2 linked regions of the Arabidopsis thaliana genome follow. The protein of the gene in region 1 interacts with the protein of each later gene in a pairwise test. Each region holds a gene or a part of one and is shown in the gene's direction. Other genes may lie near its edges.

What was found.
Region 2: the proteins of PEX11D (region 1) and ARC5 interact in a protein complementation assay, tested with the Arabidopsis thaliana proteins (one study listed by BioGRID).

What each region holds. Positions count from the first base shown.
Region 1 is NC_003071.7:18,837,797-18,841,719, forward strand, and holds PEX11D (peroxin 11D), read left to right. Parts: upstream 1-1,638; 5' UTR 1,639-1,902; exon of another isoform or gene 1,903-2,055; 5' UTR 2,056-2,068; coding exon 2,069-2,263; intron 2,264-2,338; coding exon 2,339-2,413; intron 2,414-2,495; coding exon 2,496-2,570; intron 2,571-2,664; coding exon 2,665-2,745; intron 2,746-2,834; coding exon 2,835-2,909; intron 2,910-2,994; coding exon 2,995-3,168; intron 3,169-3,270; coding exon 3,271-3,306; 3' UTR 3,307-3,607; downstream 3,608-3,923. Other genes in the region: AT2G45730 (eukaryotic initiation factor 3 gamma subunit family protein), read right to left, coding at 14-138, 261-302, 389-459, 552-633, 722-827, 949-1,076, 1,182-1,327. UniProt on the Arabidopsis thaliana protein: Involved in peroxisomal proliferation. Promotes peroxisomal duplication, aggregation or elongation without fission.
Region 2 is NC_003074.8:6,853,734-6,857,656, reverse strand, and holds the start of ARC5 (P-loop containing nucleoside triphosphate hydrolases superfamily protein), read left to right. Parts: upstream 1-2,066; 5' UTR 2,067-2,267; coding exon 2,268-2,630; intron 2,631-2,791; coding exon 2,792-2,959; intron 2,960-3,054; coding exon 3,055-3,177; intron 3,178-3,253; coding exon 3,254-3,475; intron 3,476-3,551; coding exon 3,552-3,685; intron 3,686-3,776; coding exon 3,777-3,869; coding exon of another isoform or gene 3,870-3,884; intron 3,885-3,923. Other genes in the region: AT3G19740 (P-loop containing nucleoside triphosphate hydrolases superfamily protein), read left to right, coding at 1-130, 232-354, 582-665, 791-975, 1,055-1,193, 1,278-1,337, 1,432-1,503, 1,606-1,713. UniProt on the Arabidopsis thaliana protein: Mechanochemical GTPase component of both plastid and peroxisome division machinery. Required for the last steps of plastid division specifically in mesophyll-cell, when the narrow isthmus breaks, facilitating the separation of the daughter plastids.

The sequences.
Region 1 (3,923 bases):
AAAAGCTATATACCTCCTAATCTTTCAGCCACTGCACCAGTGACAAGGCCACCAACCATATCCACCACAAGCACATCCGAGTATGCAGTGACATTAGCCATCGTTAACAGAAGAGATAACGCATCTACTCGTAAGAATCTACAACACACAAAAAAAAAAGATATACAGAACCATCAATACATAATTCAATCTCAACAGAGAAAAAAGGATTCAGGATCTTCAGAATACACAAGTAAAGAAAACAAACAAAGTGTACTTACCCAATTCTGGCTGGGTATTTCTTGAAATAAGCTTCACATATACTGTTAAACATAAAGAGATCCATCCATAAGAGAAACGGAAGAAGTCAGAAAAAAAAAAGACAGAAAAAAACCGAACAAATAAATACCTTCGAGCAAAAGGCCGTCGAAGAAGCAGCTTTGGTGCATATTTCTTCTGCTTTTTAAGCTTATATTTTTCCTACAAAGAGGTAACAAGAAAAATCAACTATATGTCTCCCAAACTTTCAAAAGTAGAAGCAGAGAGATTCATTAACAATATAAATACATTACCTGAGACAACTGAAACTTCTTATCAAAAGTTTTGCTGTTTGCAATTAGAGCTTCAATAATTTCATCCCCTTTTGCACCCTCTCTACTCATAAAAGAGAAAAACGTTACCAAATCTTCCAATGTACGCATTCAATATAATAAACACAGACGATATAAAGAATTCTTCTAACCTCCGCATAGCTTCAATTTCTTCACCAGTAAGATTCTGAGCTTCATTATTGTCGACGATTTCTCGATTATCTCTCGAATCGTCCATAACATTATTACTGTTACTTTCTGTGTAAGCAAACATCAATTAGACCAAATTCAATCCATCTATAACCAATTTACAAAAACTCAGTTTCTTTTGTATTCAGTATAGAGGATAATGTGAATTTGGTATTCAATAATAACAAACCTTGTTTAATGGGAAGAATGCGAGAGAGGAAAGAACCATCTTCTCCGGTTTCGACTTGGAACAGAGATCCAAACGGAGCTCCGATCAATGGCTTTAAAGAATAATTCTTATTCCCAATTTTTAATATACTGCAAGAAGAGGGAGAGAAAAGAATCAAAAAAAAAATTAAAAACAATAGAATTGAGGATGAGAATCAATCTGGATAAATTAAGATATTGAGGAAGAAGACGCACGCGCCACTAGATAAACGAGCGAAGACGAGACGGTCACCATCGTTGATGTCGAGCAGAACGCTGCAACCTTCGCAAGCAAATCTGGGATTTGGATCTTGAGGCTTTTTATCCTCCGACATGACTGTCTGATCCTTATTGAGTTCCATCGAAACAAGAAGAGACTGCAGTTATGTTTGGTTAGTTTTCAGTTTCTGATTACAAATAAAGTGAATGGCGGATTAGTAAGTAAAACCCTAACTACACGACTAAAGGTTTTGTCGGTTAAATAAAGAGCGGTTTAAATGTTAATAATTAAGGCCAAGGTTAGAGCCCATTTAGGTGAAACATTATTGGGCTTTAAGAGTGCTATTGCCCCAAATAAATGTAAAAAATCCACGTGGAATTTCAATCTTGTTGTCCTAGATATGTGTGCCACGTGGTTGGGACGCGCGAAATATCCTCAACTTCCGAAAGCAGAGTGGGAGAGGATGATCCAATGTGGTGTACACAGTACACATAAAAAGAGTCAACATGATCAACGGCTTAGAATGAAAGATTGAAGAGATGAGTGCGTTGACCCAACGACGTGTTTTGTCTGTTTATCGGGAAACGAAGATGACCAAACAAGCCCTATCTCCGATTACACACACAATCAAAAGAAGATCAAGCCAAAAACAGAGGCATTGCGAATTTTAATTGATCACTCTCTCTCTCTATCTCTGTTCACACATCTCTCCCAAAGGTATTTCGAATCGAAATTCTTTTGATTTCTTTCTATGATTTGTTTACATTTTTTCGTGGTGTTCTTGATTTTTTTCTTTGATCAAAACTAGTAGAAATTTTCCAATTTCGTCCTGCCTTGTGATTAGTAGTAGATATTTTGGAATTTGATTAGTAGGTAGAAGAAGATGGGGACGACGTTAGATGTATCAAGAGCAGAGCTAGCACTTGTGGTAATGTATTTGAACAAAGCAGAGGCAAGAGATAAGTTATGCAGAGCTATACAGTATGGTTCCAAGTTCTTGAGTGGTGGACAACCTGGTACTGCTCAAAATGTTGACAAATCTACTAGCTTAGCAAGAAAAGTCTTCCGTCTTTTCAAGGTTAATCCTTTTGATTTTGATTAGAGTGTGTTTTTACCTCTTTGTTTAATTAACTAAATATTATCATTGTTGCAGTTTGTGAATGACTTGCATGGTCTTATCAGTCCTGTGCCTAAAGGAACTCCTCTTCCTCTTGTTTTACTTGGAAAGGTAGGTGCTTTAGAGATCAAAGCTCAGAGTTCGTTTCGGTTTTATATCTTTGTTCTGTATCAATCTTTGTTGTTATTTTCAGTCGAAGAACGCACTTTTATCTACATTCTTGTTCCTGGATCAAATTGTCTGGCTTGGGAGATCAGGAATATATAAGGTGAGAGAGAGAGAGATCATCAAGTTTATGTTCCACTGGTGTATTCTAGTTTTGTGTGTTTGGCTAATGTCTTATATGTGTTATCTCAACACAGAACAAAGAACGAGCTGAGTTACTTGGACGTATATCTCTCTTCTGCTGGATGGGATCTTCTGTCTGCACAACTTTAGTCGAGGTCCGCCTCTTCTTTCACTTTTCCGATCGATTCCTCATGTCATCTTGGCCTTTTTCGCCAGCTTATGTATCGGTTTTCACTGTTATCAGGTTGGTGAGATGGGAAGGCTTTCTTCATCAATGAAGAAGATCGAAAAGGGACTCAAGAATGGAAACAAGTATCAGGTAAAGTTTTCTTCTTTGTTAAGAAACTTCTAATTCTACAAAATCTTATTATAAGAGACTCAATTCAAATTGTATAAAAATGTAGGATGAGGATTATCGTGCTAAGCTAAAAAAATCAAACGAGAGGTCACTTGCTTTGATCAAATCAGCTATGGACATTGTTGTAGCAGCTGGTCTTCTTCAGTTAGCTCCAACGAAGATCACTCCTCGTGTCACCGGAGCTTTTGGATTCATCACCTCCATCATTTCTTGTTACCAGGTAACACTTGTTTCATCCACAAGACCTCACTTTCCAATTTCGTAACTTTCTTCTTCTGAATTCTGATATTTACATGATTCTCATTGTTCTCCACAAACACAGTTGCTTCCGACACGCCCCAAGATCAAAACACCCTGAAGTCAATCGAGGAAGCTGGTGTTAAGGAGAAAGTCATTTCAGAAAGTTTCTGTTCTTCTTATTATTAAGGAAATTCACTGCTGTTATAAAACATCGTATAAAATACTTATTTGCAGGAATTACGGTTATTATAAATTTATGCCTCAGATTCTTGATACACAAGTTTCAATACTCAATAGTATTGCATTATTATGAGATGTTGTTTCTGCTACGCAATAACTAGAGGCAAAATCCAACTACATATATGTTTTGATCTGATTATTATAATAGACTTTGGGCTTCATTCCGCCTAAAGCTACAACTTGGAGTCTGAAGAGCATCCATGCATCGTGGAACGCTCATTTTACACTGAATGCTATTTTTTATTAAATATGAAAATCCTCGATATTTTTCTATAAAAAAATATCTTGAAAGTTGTTGATAGGCCCATGCATGGATACGAAGATTTTGGGAATTTAATTCCGAAATGTAAGATTTGGTTTGATTTTTTTGTTACATTTGTTCAAATTAGTTTTAGATTAAACTCTAAATTTAAATCATAAGAAATCATCAATTTTACCTGGATAATCTTAACAACTTATCATTAAGATCTGTTATAATTATTAATTTGTAAACTT
Region 2 (3,923 bases), on another chromosome or scaffold:
TGCTCCTGGAGAAATTGGGGTAAAGTTTGACGACATTGGTGCTCTTGAACATGTGAAAAAGACACTAAATGAGTTAGTTATTCTTCCCATGAGAAGGCCAGAGCTTTTCACCCGTGGAAATCTCTTGCGGGTATTACATTCTGTTATATACATGTCATTATGTTCTTGACTATGGACTTGGAATTTTCTCGTCTGGGTTTTCTTGAATGCGTGTGTCTTTGTTTTTTCCAGCCATGTAAAGGCATATTGCTTTTTGGTCCTCCGGGTACGGGTAAAACGCTGCTTGCCAAGGCGCTTGCAACAGAAGCTGGGGCAAACTTCATTAGCATAACTGGCTCAACGCTTACCTCAAAGGTACATGGAACCTTAAAACTATGTTGTTTGCACTGTCACGTTGATATTCCACTTTGTAAACATCTTCATATAAATAAGGAGAATATCTAATGACATAAGAAAAACTTTTCCACCCCGGTCATCGACTTATTATTGTCAATGCCGATTGTAACTTAGAGTAAATCTCTTTCCAACTTTACCTCTGATTGGTTCTGATTTAAGTCAATTTCGTCCATTGTTTGGCACAGTGGTTTGGAGATGCAGAGAAGCTCACGAAGGCTTTGTTCTCTTTTGCAAGCAAACTAGCCCCCGTCATTATATTTGTTGATGAGGTGAGAAATTGTTTAGCTTTATATCACTTTTCAATTTCGGTTATTGCTTTTTATGAGGAATACTTTTGTGATGCGTAAAATGTGTTACTCAAGGACTAACTGTAATTTATTTTGTTGTCGTATAGGTTGACAGTTTGTTGGGTGCTCGTGGTGGTGCTTTTGAGCACGAGGCAACACGAAGAATGAGAAATGAGTTTATGGCAGCTTGGGATGGACTCAGATCAAAAGATAGCCAAAGGATTCTCATTCTCGGTGCCACCAACCGACCTTTTGATCTTGATGACGCTGTCATTCGTAGGCTACCAAGACGGTAATTTAAGCTTTCAAGTAATTTCTCCTTTGGAATATTTGTATCTTTTCGATAATTGTATTGAGGCTTGTGTTTATAGGATATATGTGGATTTACCAGATGCGGAAAACCGGTTGAAGATATTGAAGATATTTCTGACACCAGAAAATCTTGAAACTGGTTTCGAGTTTGATAAACTTGCAAAGGAAACCGAAGGATATTCAGGAAGCGATCTAAAGGTTTGGTCATTCGGGGTTTCATTTACAAGTTCGAGTATGATTCAACACAGTAGTTCTGATTCCTTTTCTTTTCTTACATTGCAGAATCTATGCATAGCAGCTGCATACAGACCTGTTCAAGAATTGTTACAAGAAGAAAACAAGGTAAGGACATGCATAAACCCACACAGTTGATTTCTGTTGTTACGAAAAATAATTTTTGTACTCACTCCATGCTTTTGAAACGTCGAATTATCAGGACTCGGTAACAAATGCGTCCCCTGATCTACGACCACTGAGTTTGGACGACTTCATTCAATCCAAAGCTAAGGTATTGATCAATCTCTTAAAAAACATCATCATCATCTCTATTCATGTTTTTTCCCCTGGTGTTTGCATTATCGAAATTGCGTCATTGTAATGTAATTTGCAGGTAAGTCCGTCAGTGGCATACGACGCGACGACAATGAACGAATTGAGAAAATGGAACGAGCAATACGGTGAAGGAGGGACCCGAACTAAGTCTCCTTTCGGCTTCTAAGCCACAGTTTTGTTACATTCATCAATGTCTCTCTTTAACAATAGAACTCGTTGATTTGTTCCATGTCGTAACAATAAAAGTCACTATTTCAATTTTAATCATAGTTACACAAGAGAGACCTTTAAGAAATGAAAAAATAGTAAATTAACAAGTCGTCATTTGCTCAAAATATTTCTGGTTTCTCATCCAATAATCACAATTCTGTACTACATAGTTATCACAAATCCTTTGAGATAATATTTCTGCATATACTATTGGTCAAGACAAAGCAAATCCTTTGTATTTGCCGACCAAAAAAAAAAAATCCTTAAACTCTCTCCTTACGCGCTCTTTTATTTAAATTTAGCGGAGAACTATTACAACGTTGACTCAACGCGCCATGGATGCGCGTGAGATTAAAACACAAAAAATATTTCTTTTGACAAAAATTGAAATTAGCCGTATCTGCTAATTCCATGGCGGAAAAAGGAACGGCGACGAAAACTAAAGAGTAGAAGAAATAAGAGACACTCTCTTACTCTTACTCTTCCTCTTGCTCATTTTCGTAAGAGACGATGGCGGAAGTATCAGCAAAATCGGTGACGGTTGAGGAAATGGCGGAAGAGGACGACGCTGCGATTGAGGAGCGGTGGAGTCTTTACGAAGCTTACAACGAGTTACACGCTTTGGCGCAGGAATTGGAGACGCCGTTCGAAGCACCGGCGGTTCTTGTGGTGGGACAGCAGACCGACGGTAAAAGTGCGCTTGTGGAAGCTCTTATGGGGTTTCAATTTAACCATGTCGGCGGCGGAACCAAGACTCGTCGGCCGATTACTCTCCATATGAAGTACGATCCTCAGTGTCAATTCCCGCTTTGTCATCTCGGATCTGATGATGATCCTTCCGTTTCTCTTCCCAAATCTCTCTCACAAATTCAGGTGTTTTGTTATTATTATTACTTGTGCTTCTTCAATTGCTTGTTTCTGCGTATAAATTCTGGGAAGATTTTGACGAATGTTGAGAAACACAAGTACTTAGGTTTATTGTAGAGAAGCGAAATGCTCATGTTAACGAAATTTGTTATATGATTTGGAGTTAGGCATATATTGAGGCTGAGAACATGAGGCTGGAGCAAGAGCCATGTAGCCCATTCTCTGCAAAGGAGATTATTGTGAAAGTCCAGTATAAGTATTGTCCAAACCTTACCATCATTGATACACCTGGACTTATTGCTCCTGCACCAGGACTGAAAAACCGAGCTCTTCAGGTTGTTTTTTCTTATGGCTTCCAGCCAATTCCGTGGCTGATTTCATGTTTTGGTTTTGCTTTATTTGAGAGTGGGTTACTTGTTCTTTTTCTTAGGTTCAAGCACGGGCTGTGGAAGCTCTAGTCCGAGCAAAGATGCAACACAAAGAGTTCATCATTTTATGCCTCGAAGATAGCAGTGACTGGAGCATTGCAACCACTCGAAGGATAGTGATGCAAGTACGTTGCTTGACGTAACTCCATTGCGTCTAACCTTGTCTTTATTTTTGTTAAAGTTTGTTTCTCGTTCATGTAGGTTGATCCTGAGCTTTCTAGGACAATTGTTGTTTCTACAAAGCTTGACACTAAAATCCCTCAATTCTCATGTTCATCTGACGTGGAAGTCTTTCTCTCACCTCCTGCAAGCGCACTTGACAGCTCCTTATTGGGCGATTCTCCTTTTTTCACGTCTGTGCCTTCTGGAAGAGTTGGCTATGGACAGGATTCAGTGTATAAGTCTAATGACGAGTTCAAACAGGTCTCTGCTCTGCTGTCTGATTCCTTAAACAAGTTAAACAGGTCTTTTTCTAAACTATGTGTGGTTTTTATTACAGGCTGTGTCACTTAGAGAAATGGAAGACATTGCATCTTTAGAGAAGAAGTTGGGCCGTTTACTGACAAAACAGGAAAAGAGTAGGATTGGCATCAGTAAACTGAGGTTGTTTCTGGAAGAACTACTCTGGAAAAGGTATAACTGTTGTTTTAACTCTGATTTTTCCAGCCTCTGTTTCTATTGTAGTTTACTTTTCGCTGTAGTCTTGATGCCCTTCTCTTTCCAGGTACAAAGAGAGTGTTCCATTGATCATTCCACTGTTAGGAAAGGAGTACCGCAGTACAGTCAGAAAGCTGGATACCGTGAGCAAGGAACTTAGGTCGCAATTTGTTTTGTCTGAAAATGTCTACTTGATTTTAGGCAGTTTAATTGT